Alligator mississippiensis: one gene and its partner. The protein of the gene in region 1 purifies or fractionates together with the protein of each later gene. This does not show direct contact. Links are inferred from orthologs where the notes say so. Each region holds a gene or a part of one and is shown on either strand. Other genes may lie near its edges.

Region 1 (7,604 bases):
GGATCAGTTCTTGCACCTTTGCTGTTTAATTTTTACATTCATGACCTCCAGGCACCTTCTCAAGAAACGTCATACAGGCTGATGACACAGCCCTCATTACACAACAATCTTGTTTCTCCAGAGCAGAAGTAATACTCACAACAGATCTGAATACTTTAGAAACCTACTTTAAATAATGGCATCTGCACCCAAGCCCTGGGAAAACAAAAGCATCTACATTTCACTTGAACAATAAACAAGCTAATTAGCAACCCATTATTGTTTTAAAAGTCAGCTCTTAAGTTATAAGAGTACTCCTAAATATTTAGGAATCATCCTAGATAGAACACTGTGCTATAAAAATCACTTAACTATGACAGCAGCTAAGTTAAAAAACTTGTAATAATTTGCTCCAGAAACTCACTGGGACTTCCTGGGGAGCTGATGCTGATGCACTGAGGACAACAGCCTAAGTGCTGGTTTACTCTTCGGTGGAATACTGTGGTCCAATTTGGTTAAAGTGCTCACACTGATAAGTTTGACAGTGACATATAACAGACTGAATCATTACAGAAACAATTTGATCTACCCCTCTTCAACAGCTCCCTATTCTTAGTAACCTACATCTTCTCTCATGAAGAAAAAAATGCCTTAACTAAATTATGAACTAAAATAAAAAATAACCCACAGCTGCCTATACAAAAGATTTCTTAAACCCACGTCCAAGACTAAAATCTAGACATCCCAACAGGAGAACAGCAATTCAACTTGAGCAAGATTCATTTAACATCCAAGATGCCTGGATGCAAATGTGGCTCAATTCATCCCCTAACACAGAAAATATTACTACAAATCCCACTATCAGACAAACCAGCTTTGATCTCCCTAGACGTCTTTGGTCTTCTCTAAACAGAATCAGGACAGGACACAGCAAATGTGTATTTCTGTAACAATGGTGGGGCTGGACTAGCTCACAGAACTGCAGCTGTGGTGCCCCCTTTCAAACTTTGAATCATATCACCCCTGAATGCTCTCTTCATACACTTAATGGAACTCTATTGGATCTGAACAATACTACACCTAAGGCAATGAGCTAGCTGCAAAATTTGGACATAAAATTGTGAATATGTTTCTCCTTGCTTTGTGATCCCTGTATCATCAAATGCTAAATAAAAAAAGTGGCTGCAGCGGGCTGGGAAAGCTGGCTGCTGCCACCCCTGGCTTCATGGTGGGCTGAATTATCTGGCGGGGCTTGGTGCCAGCTCCCCCCAACTCAGTCAAAGGCCCTAGGGAGTGGTTCCCAGCACTAGCCCCTGGCTCCCCATGTTTCTCCGGGCAGGTGACTGCAACATCTCCCCTGTGGCAGGGCGGGGCAGGCCCTGGCCCAGGGCTCTGCACCCTTCAGCCGGCACTAGGCATGCATTATTGATTAACTGTTTAACCGATATAATTAGAGATGGTTACATGGATAATTTTTTTTAACACTATTTACATCTCTAGCATGTATACATGAATGGAATCCAACTATATCAGTTTTGTAAGGCTCCTAAATATACTGGCATTACAATTCCTTCCTTTTTTGTGCATTTATGGCAGGCTATGCCATGAGTGCTTCTGTCATGGCCTCGTCATTTCTATTAAAAACACAGAAACCAAATCATGAGAAACTACATCGGAATCTTGGTACAATTTTTCAGTGTAGTTTACAGAATTAATAATGTTTGCTAACAATACAGGTAATTGTTTTATATAGCATTATATGCTAATCTTGAAATCTTCACACGCTGTAATCAATGACAACAAAGATAAAATTTTTAAAAGACATTGCTTTGAACTCTGGGAAGTACTAAATACGATCAAATTAGGTCCTGACTCCATGAACACTTGCCTACCCAGAGAAAGTTACAGGTTCTGGGCTTTGATTTGTATCTGCAATTATTTCCAAGACTATGCAACGAAGTAAGAGTACTTTATTTCAAATTCTCATTCCCCCAAATCAGACTCTGTGACTGCAAGCTTATATTATAGGAAGATTTAGACACAAAAACAAATTTTAAAAAAGGAAATCAAGAAGTTCTGCATCTTCCAGCAACCACTGCACTTTAAAACAAACTTCATTCAATGTACAGCCATACAGAAGTTGTGCATCCAGTAGGCTGAGGGGCTTCAGAAAATCTTCAATATTTTAATTTTCAGATGCGTATACTTGGGCAGCTCCAAAATCAGTAACAAGTCATACAAAATAACAAATAATACAAATACATGACAAATGATGCAAAATCAATGCTTACAAAAATGGGAGCGCTTGAGAAGTCCTGCCAGGGTACTCGCAGGAGCACAGGGAAGTTGGGCTGGAAGGGACGTCCAGGGGTCACCGAATCCTAGGAGATCAGAGGAGGAAGGGCCCGCAGGAGGTCACCTCTAGTCCAACCGCTGCTCACAGCAGCACCACATCATCCCAGCCAGGGCTTTGTCTTAAAAACCTCCAAGGATGGCGTTACCACCACCTCTCTGAGCAGCTTCTCCACCCTCCTAGTGAGGAAATCTTGCCTAATATCCAACCTAAACGTCCCTTGCTGCAACTTGAGCCGACGGCTCCTTGTCGTGTCACCTACCCCGCAGAGAACAGTCTCCCGGGCCGCACGGGGCGGCCGCCCCTGTCCCGGCTCAGCAACCCCGGGCTAGTCCACCCCCTCCCTGAGGCAGGATCCTCCCCACCCGAGACGCGCCCCCGCGGGGCACCGGCCCAGGCTCCGAAACGAAGCCTGCAACGCAGCCCTGGCTAGAGGCGCTCGCCCCGCCGCGGGCCCCGTTCGACCCGGCCTTTCCCCTCCTCAGAGGAGCGAAGCCAGGCAAGAGGGCAGCCCGCAGGCGCCACGACGCCGCCCCTTGGGTCCCTCCGGCTCCTGCCTTCAGAGCTGGGCGGCAGAGCAGACCGAGCCCAGGATCCCACCGCACCTGGGCCGCCGGGCGCCTTCCGCTCCCACCGTTCTCTGCCCCAGCCGGCGAGCGCGCCCCGCACAAAGATGGCGGCGCAGAGGCGTACCTCCCTCTTCGCCCCACGGACACACGTGGGGGCGCCCCGCACAAAGATGGCGGAGGGGAGCCTCCCCCCCAACCTACCCCTCACCAAGATGGCGGCAGCGGGCAGCTTGCCCCGGGGCTTCGCGTGGGCAGGGCTCAGGGTTGTCCCGCACAAAGATGGCGGCGGCGCGGGTCCACATTCAGGGCTAGCCCCTCCGCCTGGCTTCGCGTTGACCCCGGAAGCGGATGCGCCGCTGTCTCCTAGCAGCCGTCGCGGGGGCGGGACTGGGGCCGGGGCTGCAAAGGGCCGCTGCTGCTCGCGGGGCCCGGTAGGTAAGCAGGGGCGCAGCCTAGAGGAGGCGCGCGGTCCCCTCCCCCGCGGGGCCGAGCAGCCCCCGCCGTCCCCGCCTCTGTGGCAGGGAGCAAGCGAGCGCCTCCTGCTGCGAGTCGCTCCCTGCCTCTCCTTGCAAATCCTTCCCTGCAGGCCGCTGTTGCTCCCCCCGATGTCCAGTGCTGCCCCCTGCCAAGGGCCGAGCGGGCTGGAGGACGGGCCGAAACCTGCCGCGCCCTGCTCAGCTTCTCGGTAGAGGCGAGGGAGGAGGATGCCGGCCCGCCTCTGCGCCCTCTGTAACCCCGGGCTTTGACAGCCTGCAGAGAAAAGGCCGGGGGAGGTGTAATTGAGCACATCGCTTTCATTTGACAGGAGATGCCAGTGGCAGGTTGTGACTGATGCGGCCTCGAGGTAGTTTCGCTTAACGAGGTTATGGGAGAGAGAGAGCCATGTCCGAAGAAGCAGTTAGTGAGACGCACTTTTCTCTGAAGACAGCAGCTTTACGAGTGTTTCATCTTCCCCTTTCCTGGTATTATTCTCTCATCCAGGTAACGATCGAAATATTGCGTTATCCTCATTCCTGGCGTTTTCATCCATGAATCGGAAACAGTTTCAGTTACTTTATTTATTTATTTTTTTTACAGTATTTTAAATGATTGAGCTCCTGGGGGGCATAATATTTGGTTACGTCTTCATTAAACATTTTCCCCCGGGAATATCTTTGTTCCGGTTCTCACACAATGCGCACACATGAGAGACAAAACTATTTTGTTGGTTTTTCTCCCTTCTACTCCCTCAAGTCAGTTGTATGTCAGATAACAGAAACGACTCTCTCTGCAAACCCATGGTCTTTGTGGCAGAGTAATCGTTGCAGCATTGTAGTACCTCTGATCAAACCAAATATCATGCTCTTCAGTTTTGTTTTTCACAGGCAAATTTGTCAGTTTCTTTAAAAGTTTAAATGCAAAAGTCATTAACCCAAATAATCGTATTGGGCATGTTCCAAAATATTTTGCAGATTGTAGATATTTTTTCTTTTTTGACTGTATTTGTTTCGATGAACTACTGCATCATTGTGAAGATTCACCCAGCTGACAGTGTTTTCGATTGATTTACAATAAGTGATATAGTACTGAGAGATGGTTGGTTTAAATCCAGTCTGTTGTGGGTTTTTTTTATGTCAATAGTCCCTTATAGTTGAACATAACGAAGCTTTAGTTAATCACTTTTTTTGGCTTTTATGCAGATGGTTTTAGCATTGATTTATTGTCATCCATTTTCTTGCTGTTTTATATGCTAATTTGCTGTATGTAAATAATAGTACTGGTGGGTAATGAATGATTTATCTTTAATAGTAAAGAGTCCATTGTATTCTTAGTTTCCAGACTCAGAGCTGAGCAGCATCATGGAGCTGACACTCCCTGTCTGCAGGGGAACGTGTCCCTGGAACATTCTTTAATAGAAAGTTAGGGTGGAGAATCAATATTTCTGCTTTGACTACAGCCAAAGGAGGAGGCAGTTCTCAGTCAGATATAACTAGGCATGTTTCTGAGCAACACAGTGAAATCAAACCTGCTTAAATAACTCTAAGCTTTGTGAAATGGGAAAACTGCTTCCATATTTCTTATTGACAGAAAAAGTCCACATTCTATGCTGTAGTGTGTTGAAAAAGATGCTACTTTTCTGTTAATATAAGGAGGGAGATTGTGAGCTTGTTCTTTATTTAATCCATGCAGCCATCCTGATAGGTGTGATTTTAAGCAAAATATGATCCGTCATCAGGACTCTGGCACTTTTTTAAGAGGAAAGATGTTACTGAGTCATTAATGTGGATCCTGTTTTTCTCCGTTTAAAAATTCAAAATTCTCTGATTAAAACCCCACAAATCCATGGTTTTTTCTGCCATTAAAATGGAATGCCACTATATATATAGGTATCTGCTGAACACAATGTTTTATTGATATATTTACCAGTTTAAAGCAGTGTGGAAGCCTACCAGTGCCTCAGTCATTATAATAAAATATATTCTAAATACCTATAAACTTTGGCATTTGATTTTGGTATTTTTTATTATAGAAAATCGGAGCACCTCCTGCCCCTTTCCCTCAGGAGGACACAGGTCCAGCTGCAGCTGTCCTCACAGCTGTTTTGTGGCACAGAGCATCACTGATTTGCTGTTGCTCTGCCCCTGCTGTTGCCCCTCACTCCTGACCAGCACCCCTTGACTGCCCCCGACTTGCTTCCTCCTGGCAGCAGCAGCGCCCCCACTGCACCAGGCCACAGGTCCAGCTGAAGCTATCCTGCCTGATGCTTTGTGGCTCTGAGCAGTGCTGGCCCTTGCTCTTCTGCTCCCCTGTGGGCCCAGGGCCCAGTGGTCTCCATAACCTTCCTGGGAAGCCCTTGACAGGGCTCAGGGACTGGACTGGACTGGGCCTGCCTCTGGCTGGACAAGCCCCTTCTCTTCTATGATAGTCTCCCTCTGCACAGGCAGCTCTAGGAGGGCAGGGGGTCTCCAGGCCCAGTTCTAGTGGCCACTTTTACCTGGAGCACCTCCCCACCCCATCTTCCTTTCTTGCAGACCCTTCCCTGTTGCCACCCCCAGCCCATCACATATGCACACACACATAGACCCTTCTGCTATTTTAATCCTCTTTGCAGGGCCCCCAGCCACCCCCCAGACCTCAAAAGCTCTACTTACCCCAACGGCTGCAGGAGAGAAAGTCGGTCTGAGCCAGCACTGGCTGGTCTCAGATTCTCAGGCTTTGCCCCACCCTCTGCAGACAGGGCTTAGGGTTTCCTGACCTTTTGCAGGTAGCTCTTGCAGGCTGGAACTCTGCCCACCAGCAGAGAGCTGTTTGCAAAAGGGAAAATCTGTGGTTTCCTCCTTCAAAGGGGAAATCCATATTTTTCTGCAGGAAACAGAAAACCCAGATCCCTAAGCATTAAATCTTAATGCCTGTCCAAAGCCAGTGGCATTGATAAAGCCCTATTTTATGTTTAATAATACAAGCTGCCCGAAACATCTTTATCGTATTACATAAATATAAATGTGTACATACATATACATGTTTTAGTACAAATATTAAGAAGAGTGAATATTCTTATTGTCTCTCATGTGACTACCCCAGGACTTTGAATTTTTCCAACATGGAAAAAATAAATTCCTTACCAAGAGCTCACTGATTGCGTGTTCTGTATTGCTGTAGTGGTTTTTCTAGAGCTCCTGCATCGCTCAAGTCTTGTATTAACTCTGGGATTAATTATACATCCCTGGAGATACCAGTGTGTGTCTGTTCACTTGTTTACCATCTTCTGCATGTCCAGTGGGATGGAAAAAAAGTCACGGAACATCTAGTTGCAGTTATTAAAACCTCTGAAATGTAGTGTCTACTTGGTTGAAATGCATTTGTAAATGCATTTATAATTATATGAAATGAATATGAACTTAGGTGTAATATTTTGCTTAATTTAATCTTTTGTACAGTATTACTGCATCTTTACTGTTTTTACAGCGAGTGATTTTTAAAAAAAAATTTTTTTTTAAGCATTAAAGTAAATTTTATGTTTTAATACCTGAGCTAAATCCTCTGCTTTGGTTTAGATTAGGAGTGGGTAATTATTTGGGCAGGAGGGTCACTGGGGGAGTTTGGGTGTGCTGTTATGGGTTGGGTCAACATTCCCCCCACACTCCCACACACACTCTTCCCTTCCCACTGCTCACAAATGCTCACCAAAACTCTCTGTGGCTTTGCCCTGTAGCCCGGCCCTGTGCTCTCGCTGCCCAGCGATCCCAGGGTCGCTGTGGAGGTTGGCCTGAGACCCACATGGGCAGGGCAGGCTTCAGGGGCGACGCGTAGGGAGTGCACGTGGGTGCACGTGCACCCCCTGAGTATGACAGTGCACCCCCTGCCTGCAGGCAGTTGCCACTCGCCAGCCTGCCACCGACACTGCCAGTGGCATCTGCGAGTGGTCCATGATTGCCCCTGGCTGCTGGGAGCACCTGTGGGTGGACAGTGTTGTCAGCGTCTACGGGAGCTCCCAGCTTACCACCGCTGTCACTGCGCTCCTGCTGCCGCCAGGGCAGCCGTGTCCCCACAGCCACCGGGGGCATGTGCCATTCGTGGCATGCTTGGTCAGGCAGATGGGGGCTGTGGGTAGGCCTGGAGCAGGATGAGCAGGCAGGATTGGGGATGGGATGAGGAGTATGGGGCACTGACAGAGTCAGGCTGGGGCTGAGGGCAGAGCTGTTATCCACTTCCTACATGCTCCT
Region 2 (7,428 bases), on another chromosome or scaffold:
CTGTCCTTATAAAGAAAAAAAGTCTCTTTAAATAATGAAACAGAAAACAGATACAGTTGTTGAAGGTTCCACACTTCACCAGCTAGAGAAGCTGATTCAAAAGTTGCAACATGTGTTGATTTCATTCTGTTGCTCCTAGTAACACCAGCAAGGTATTCTGGGAATGAGAAGAGAAACACGGGGCAAAAACTAGGCAGAAACTTTGTTCACTTAACTTAGAACAAAGGGTGAACTCAGGTACAGTCCCAATTTGACAATTTATAGGCAAGGCAACTTTCCTGAGACAGAAGACTGGTAGAGAAGATATAAACAGAAAAAACTATTGAGAAGCACAAAAAAATATTCCAAGTCTTCATTATACCTGATAACAAATGTAACATATACAAAGAAAACCATAACAAGCCAAACTACAGACATCGTAACCAATACATGACCAACAGCAGTGTGACAATTACTGTCTTTGAAAGGAGAATCCATAAAAGTAGGCCAAACAAAGTACATAAGATCACTTACAGTGAAGTTCAGCATACAATCTATCAATAATCATGTTATCATATAAAACGTTACATTCAGTAGCACTTAAGATTTAGTGCTTCAGGTACGGTGTATTTAAGTCTTTCAGAAACTTAATTTAATCACTGAACTTTAATTACTCATCCGAGTCCTCCACAATTTTATAAAAATCAATTAAGGAAACCTGCTACTTATTCACGTTTAGTGCCTATCAGACCTACAAGACAAGGTTTGGCTAAATTGGCTGCATTACATGTTGTACTTTCACGTTCATAGTTTTATGCAAGATACAAGCAGCTGGAAGTTAAACGTGAAGGAAAACTGCAAGCAGACAAGTCTAGTCTGCCAGCTAACAAGAACAATAGGAAAGTCTAGCAAGAACAAAAGGAAACAATAGGAAATAAATAAATGTACGTTTAAAGTTAAAAAATAAAAAACCCTGAATAATCCAGAGTGAGAAACAAATACTATTTTAGCTGGATATCATCATAAAAGCCCAGAGGGATATATACAGTTAAAAGTAATTATGTCCAAAGAGTTTTTATATAAATACAATACATACATCTCTCTCTCTCTATACACACACACACACATATACATATATAACTATATGTATACATACACATATACATATATTTTATATGTATGCACACATATTTACACAAAAAATACATTCTCCAACAACAGTTTGATGGGGTACTCTCAAAGGTGGAGGATTTGCAAGGGAACTAAATCTGCTGTCAACAATACCCTGTTAGTATGACCCTATCTTTAATCTACAGGCATGATAAGATGCCCCAACACACATAAACCCAGCTCAAACAGTGACTAATGACCATTAATCCCCCTATCTCTTCCGTGATCGCTCCTTCCTCCATTTATCACACTGACACTTCACTTTACACACGTGAATAAACTTTAACAGAGAAGGTGAATCAAAAATCATCTCAAAGCAATCTGGGACTATAAATTAAAGCTGAGGACTGGGAGTGGGCTGGGGGGGGGGAAGAGGGGGAAGGCAGGGGGGAACGATTTGTTCTTGATTTGCATCCCGCTTGGTGGCAAAAAGCACTCAATCAACCAGACATGCAAACTGTTGAGATGGCTACATTAGCCAAGGGGTGCACCGAGGGAAGAACAAAGCAGGCCTTTACACTTTAACCCATTCACCAGTCCCAACTCCTTTCCAGCTACATCCGGTTGCCCCACTAGTCCTGGACTCCTGGGGGCTTCCCTGGAGTGCTCCTGGGAAGATGCAGAGTGCCTTGGGCTGGCTCAATGTCAGGGGTTTGCCAGGAGGTAAGGGCATTCTTTAATCAGGACTAAAGGACTTTGACACGTATGCCATGATCCCAGCCTGCAGTGACTGGCTTCCTATATCTAGAGATCTGAGAAAGAACATCTTGCATTGGAAGGCTTGTCTAACTTTATCCCAAGGGCACAGATGATCCAACAAAAGTGATCCCCCTAAGAAACCGTCACCTCTCACATAATTACTGGGCCACCATGGCTACAACATCACTCTCACACTACCAGGATCTCAGTCACAAATCCCCCCCCCCCCCCCAGCGCGGGAACTGGATCCTGTAACTTGCCTAAGACTCAGCAGCTGTGGCTGTGCTCCAGAGCGGCACCTACAACTTCTTAAAGCAAGAGAAGGGGAAAGAGGAGGAGGGGGGTGAAGGAAAGCTGTGTGGCTGAAAGGAGGGGTTAAGCTAAACTGGCTAGAAAGCAAGAAGTCACCCAGCTGCATTTAGGTGGCAAGTAAGCATCTCCTGTAATGAGGCAGGGGGGTAGCACCGCTGAGACATAAGAGCCCAGAGGGGGAAAGAGTATCTTCTTTTAAAAAAAGAAAAAAAGAAAAGGAGAAGCCTTCATAAATCAAGGGGCTGGAAGTTTGCTGGGGAAAACCAACCCATTCATGTAATCTTCTCTCTCCACCACCTGCCCCCCAGTACAGAGACACACATAGACACCCGATCCAACCCAGCAGAACCTACAGAAGAAAAAGGTTGTTATTTCCTGACACTTCTCCCTACTCAGTTTCAGCGACAAGCCTTTGAGCCCACAAGGAAACTCTGAGCAGCTCCTTGTTCACGGGCTGGGAGGGAGAAGAGTCCTCCGTGCAATGAGAGATCCTGAGCTTGCCGAAGCCCCTTGCCCCTATGTGCGTCTGTGTGCTGTGACTGTCCGTGTGTGTGTGTGCCCCTGTACGTCCCTTTATGTGCGCCTGTGGGTGCGATTGTCCATGTGCGTGTTCCTGTCTGCGTGTGTCCCCGCGTGCCGCCCAGCACTCCTGCTCCAAACCCCAGAGCAGCCCGCACAGACTCGGGGCGGAAAGCCGCCCCCCGCCCAACCCGCGCGTAGACGAGCCCGTGAAACTTCAGGCAAAGACGAGCCGAGGCGGGGAGCGGGGGCAGGACAGGGCAGGCGCCGGCGCTTACCTGCGCAGAGCCAGACGCAGCCGAGGAGGTAGAAGCGGGCAAACTCCGCGACCATTGTCCCCAGGCGGCGGCCGCGCAGCCCCGGCTCATGCCAGGGGGGAGCCGACGCCCGCAGCCCCGCGCCGCCGCCGCCGGCCCGGGCGCCCGGAGCTGCAGTGCGGGGGCCGAGGGGCATCCGCGGCTGCGGCTCAGGACGCGCCGGCGGGGCGGGGGCGGCCCCGGTCCCGCTGCCGGCAGCGGCGCGCGGCGCGCAGCATGGCCCGGGCCAGGGGCGCAAGCGGGCGGGCGGGCGGGCGTGCAGGACGCGGCGGCGGTCGCGGTGGCTGCAGCGCCCCGACTCGGCGGTGTCACGCGGAGTCGCTCGCGAGCGCCCGCTCCGCGCCGGCCCCGCCCCCTCAGCCCCGCCCCGCCGCCGCCTCGGGATGCTTTAAAGGAGCCGCGCCTCTCTCCTCTCCGGACCCCTGGGGAAGGCGAACAGCCCGGGGTGGCGGCACCGCACGGGGGCAGCGGGGCGAAGGCGGGGGGTTGCGGCAGCCCCTGAGAGTCTTGCGGGACTAGGCAGGGACTAAAAGGGATGTAGTTGCGGGGGGAGCGGGGCAGCACGAGCAGGCGCGTACACACAAGCTGGACAGCACTGGTGCGCACACGCACATACACTGTAGTGGGACACACTGGAGCAGGACACACACGCACACACACTGTAGAGGAACACGCACACATAGACACACACACAGACACACATACTGGAGCAGTACAGCACTGGCAGAGGACCTGGACTAGATCTCTCGCTCTCTCACACTCACAGTCACACACGGAAGCTGGAGCAGGACAGCACTGGCAGAGGACCTCATGACACACACTTCCTCTCTCTCTGGAGCTGTATACAGCTGTATTCAAAGCATCTATCACGCTGATGTTCTTACACATTAATAGTAAGTAACCCAAAGAGTAGGAAGTTGCCCCCCTCTCCCTTTCTTTTACACAGGCACGCAGTCTCGCACTCTCTGGAGCCCTACAACTGTGTCCCAACCATCTGTCACACCACTGCTCTTACAAGCAAATAGGAAGTACTAAAAATCATAAGTAACTCACACAGACGAAGCTGCCATGCACCCAAAGGTGCCTGGCATGCATGCACAAAGCCAGGGACTGAGAAAGCAAGTGACCAGTGGCAATGCTGCCAACCACTGCCAAGGTTATGAAAACAGCCTCTTTCATTCTTTAAAAAGGAGGCAATGAATTAGAGGCAATAAGGAAAGTAGTTACTATGCCAGAGTAATGAGCTGGAGCTTTGTGAGGCTGGTACAGGACCTGGTTTTCACACACACTCTCTCTCTCTCTCTCTCTCTCTTTCATGCTTTGGAGCCCTAGAGCTCTGTGCAAAGCTTTCAGCACATTGATGTCCTTACATGTTAATAATAAGTAACGAAAAATACAAAGCTGCCACACTCCCACACGCACACACGCAGTCACTGACTCACTCTTTGGAGCCCTGCAGCCATGTTCAAAGCATTTATCATACCAATGCCCTTACATGTGAATAAGTAACCCAAAATGTATGAAGCTGCCACTCTCTCTCTCTCTCTCTCACTCTCTCCAGTCCTACAGCTGTATTCAAAGCATCTATCGCGCTGATGCCTTTACACATGAATAAGAAGTATGCCAAAGAGTATGCAGCTGCCACATACCCAAAAGTGCCTGGCAAATGCACACAAATCAGGGGCTGAAGACACAACTACTAGCCATAGGGGTGCCAATGTTTCCTGGGCATCAGGTCCTTTATTAAAGCCCTCCTTCCTGCAGCTTTAAGTAGATGTTATATTAAAAGGGAGGCTTATCCCTTCATTAAAGGGGAGGGGAAAGGACGTTTCTGGCATCACTGCAGAGAAAAGCTTAGAAAAGCGGGACCCCAGTAAATCCCAAAAGTTCAAAAGCAAGAAAGGAAATTGAAAGAGAACGTACTTTGAGAGGGAAATTCTAATGTATAAGTTGCAAGACATGGGGCAAACAATTTTTTACTCCACACCAACCATCATCACAACTTCAACAAACTACAGAACTTGCATGGCAACTTTAAGTCCACTCCCACTATCACTTTTTTCATACAGCTCTTTCCTGGACAGCTGTTGTGAATGCCTGATGTAGTGGCCAACCTGTGGTATGCATGCCCCAGTGGCATGGACAGCTGCTGCCTGTGGCATGTGGCATACTGGGGAGGGGACAAGAAGTACAGCTGCAGATTGGGCAGAATACAAAGCCAAGCAGCAAATCAGGCTGAGAGCACAGGGAAAGAAGCAGAAAGCAAAGCAGCAGATCAAACAAGGAACAAAGATCAATGCAGCAGATCAGGCAGGGAGCAGAAAGCAGAGTGGCAGATCCACAGGGGAAGGGGATTGGAGTGGCATTTAGGTAGGTGCAGAGTTAATTTGTGGCACACAAAAAGGTTGTTCACCCCCCAATGCAGTAATAGATTGGTACTTGATAGCTTGGACTTATCTAAGAGGAATGAATGTAGAGAAGTACTTAGGACAGTTTTTCCTGGGCAGATGATGTTAGGCCAGCATCCATAACAGAGTACCATTAAGGCTGCAGTTCATAGTAAGTGTGATAATGGTATCCTGTGTGCTGACAAGCCAGTTCTTCCATAGCTCAACTCATCATCCTTGCTTTCATGGATTTCTGTTAGGTATTGTGTTCCTGTGCACTAACTTCTAGGCTTTATTCATGCTTATTTAAGGCTTTGGGTTTGGATGAGGTGCAGGCAGAAGTTTAGTTGCAGATGAGAATGCCTTTTGAGTCATTCATTGCAAATTAGTGCTTTATTGCAGGATAAAACCTAAGAGAAAAGTTTTGTTTCTGGCATAGAAAGATTTATGTACAACTACCTTATCATCTGCCAGTCAGGTTTTAATAATCCCAATCTCCATTAATCACTCAAGCTTGTGCATGGTGACAGACCCAAATCAATCAAAGTTTATCCACACTTTGACTCCATCAATCAAGTTTAGAGCACAAAAGCTTCCATTTTTAACACAGATAATATTAAAATGGCTCTAAGTAAAACATTTTAAAAATAAAAATAATAATTAAAAACCCTATCCATTGCACCAGATACACTACTAAATCTCCTGAAATCTGTAGCTATTAACAAGAAACTTGGTTTAACAGTGAAAAACCAAGGACTACCAAGGACATTTCCAGCAAAAACTCAATTCCCAAAGCTTTCTGTTAAGAATTAAGAAACTGAGCAAAAACTACACGACTAATACCAAGGTTATAAAAATAGCCTTATGTGACATTTAACACCAATTACCCCTTTATTTTCAGAGAAAAATAAGGAATTCATTGTAGATGTGATATCTTTTATTAGACCAGCTGAGAAGATGGAACAAAGTTCTTTCAGGCAACCACAAACTTGCTAAGAACTTTGTTCTAACTACTCAGTTGGTCTAATAAAAGATATCACATCTACTTAAAAAAGCTTGCCTGCCTATGTCCTTAGACCAACATGGCTACAACCAAAAACCCTGCAGGAATTCATTGTCCATCTTAAATTCTTCAGGAATTTACATGGATGTTTACCTGTGTAACAAGTGTGCTTAGCCAAAATCAATTTTCAGCAACCATCATTTCACACATAATAAAACAAAAGCCATATTAGCACAGCTCTTCCCTAGGATTAAAACATGATAGAAGAGTCTACACGGTTGAAAGCTCTTATTGTTGAGATACGAGGAATTCAGTGCATTAGCTGCAGAAGCCTTGAGATAAGTAGAATCTTAAGTTCATGCAGGGCTCAAAAGGACCTCTACAGGTCATATATTCCAACCCTCTGCTCTGAGGCAGTATCAGAGAACCCAGACCAAGACCAGTATGCCTGCCAGATACATTTGTCTGCCCTGATATTAAAGAGCACTACTGCTTGGGATTTTGCTACCTCCCTAGGTAATCTGTTACATTGCTCAACTAACTTTATATTTATGAAGTTATTTTCTTAATATCTAGCCTCAGTAGTCCCAATCTTCACAAGAAGAAAACATAACTATAAAGGTACAACAATTGTTCTTCTTAAGGCATGTTAAATAAGGCAGTTATGAATCTATATTAGATTCATTCTTCTTATGCTGAAACATACTTTTAAGTCAGTCACATGAATCAGGAAAATCAAACCTGCAAACCTAGTATGAGACAACCCTTTGTATACAAATAATGTATTTTTCATTTAGGAATTTAGGTGTTTACACATATTTGTAAAATAATATTCAGCTATAACTTAGTTTTTACATGAATCTTAGATTCTGTGTAATTTTTTGATAAAAATATTGTTTTCTTAACACTGCTCATGTAAGGTGTGATTTCAAGTGTGTGTCTATCACCTATAACTATATCAAACTATATCAATATCTATATCAGATAGATAGATAGATAGATAGATAGATAGATAGATAGATAGATAGATAGATAGATAGAT

The links.
Region 2: the proteins of USP33 (region 1) and ROBO1 purify together in Homo sapiens (affinity purification with western blotting; 5 studies listed by BioGRID and IntAct, with this or other methods). This does not show direct contact. The link is inferred for Alligator mississippiensis from reciprocal best matches to the Homo sapiens genes USP33 and ROBO1.

Annotation. Positions count from the first base shown.
Region 1 is NC_081828.1:23,812,026-23,819,629, forward strand, and holds the start of USP33 (ubiquitin carboxyl-terminal hydrolase 33), read right to left. Parts: upstream 3,201-7,604; 5' UTR 3,103-3,200; intron 3,037-3,102; exon of another isoform or gene 2,938-3,036; intron 2,361-2,937; 5' UTR 2,271-2,360; intron 1-2,270. Other genes in the region: MIGA1 (mitoguardin 1), read left to right, coding at 3,784-3,882. UniProt on the Homo sapiens protein: Deubiquitinating enzyme involved in various processes such as centrosome duplication, cellular migration and beta-2 adrenergic receptor/ADRB2 recycling.
Region 2 is NC_081824.1:275,561,028-275,568,455, reverse strand, and holds the start of ROBO1 (roundabout homolog 1), read right to left. Parts: upstream 3,260-7,428; 5' UTR 3,133-3,259; coding exon 2,958-3,132; intron 1-2,957. UniProt on the Homo sapiens protein: Receptor for SLIT1 and SLIT2 that mediates cellular responses to molecular guidance cues in cellular migration, including axonal navigation at the ventral midline of the neural tube and projection of axons to different regions during neuronal development.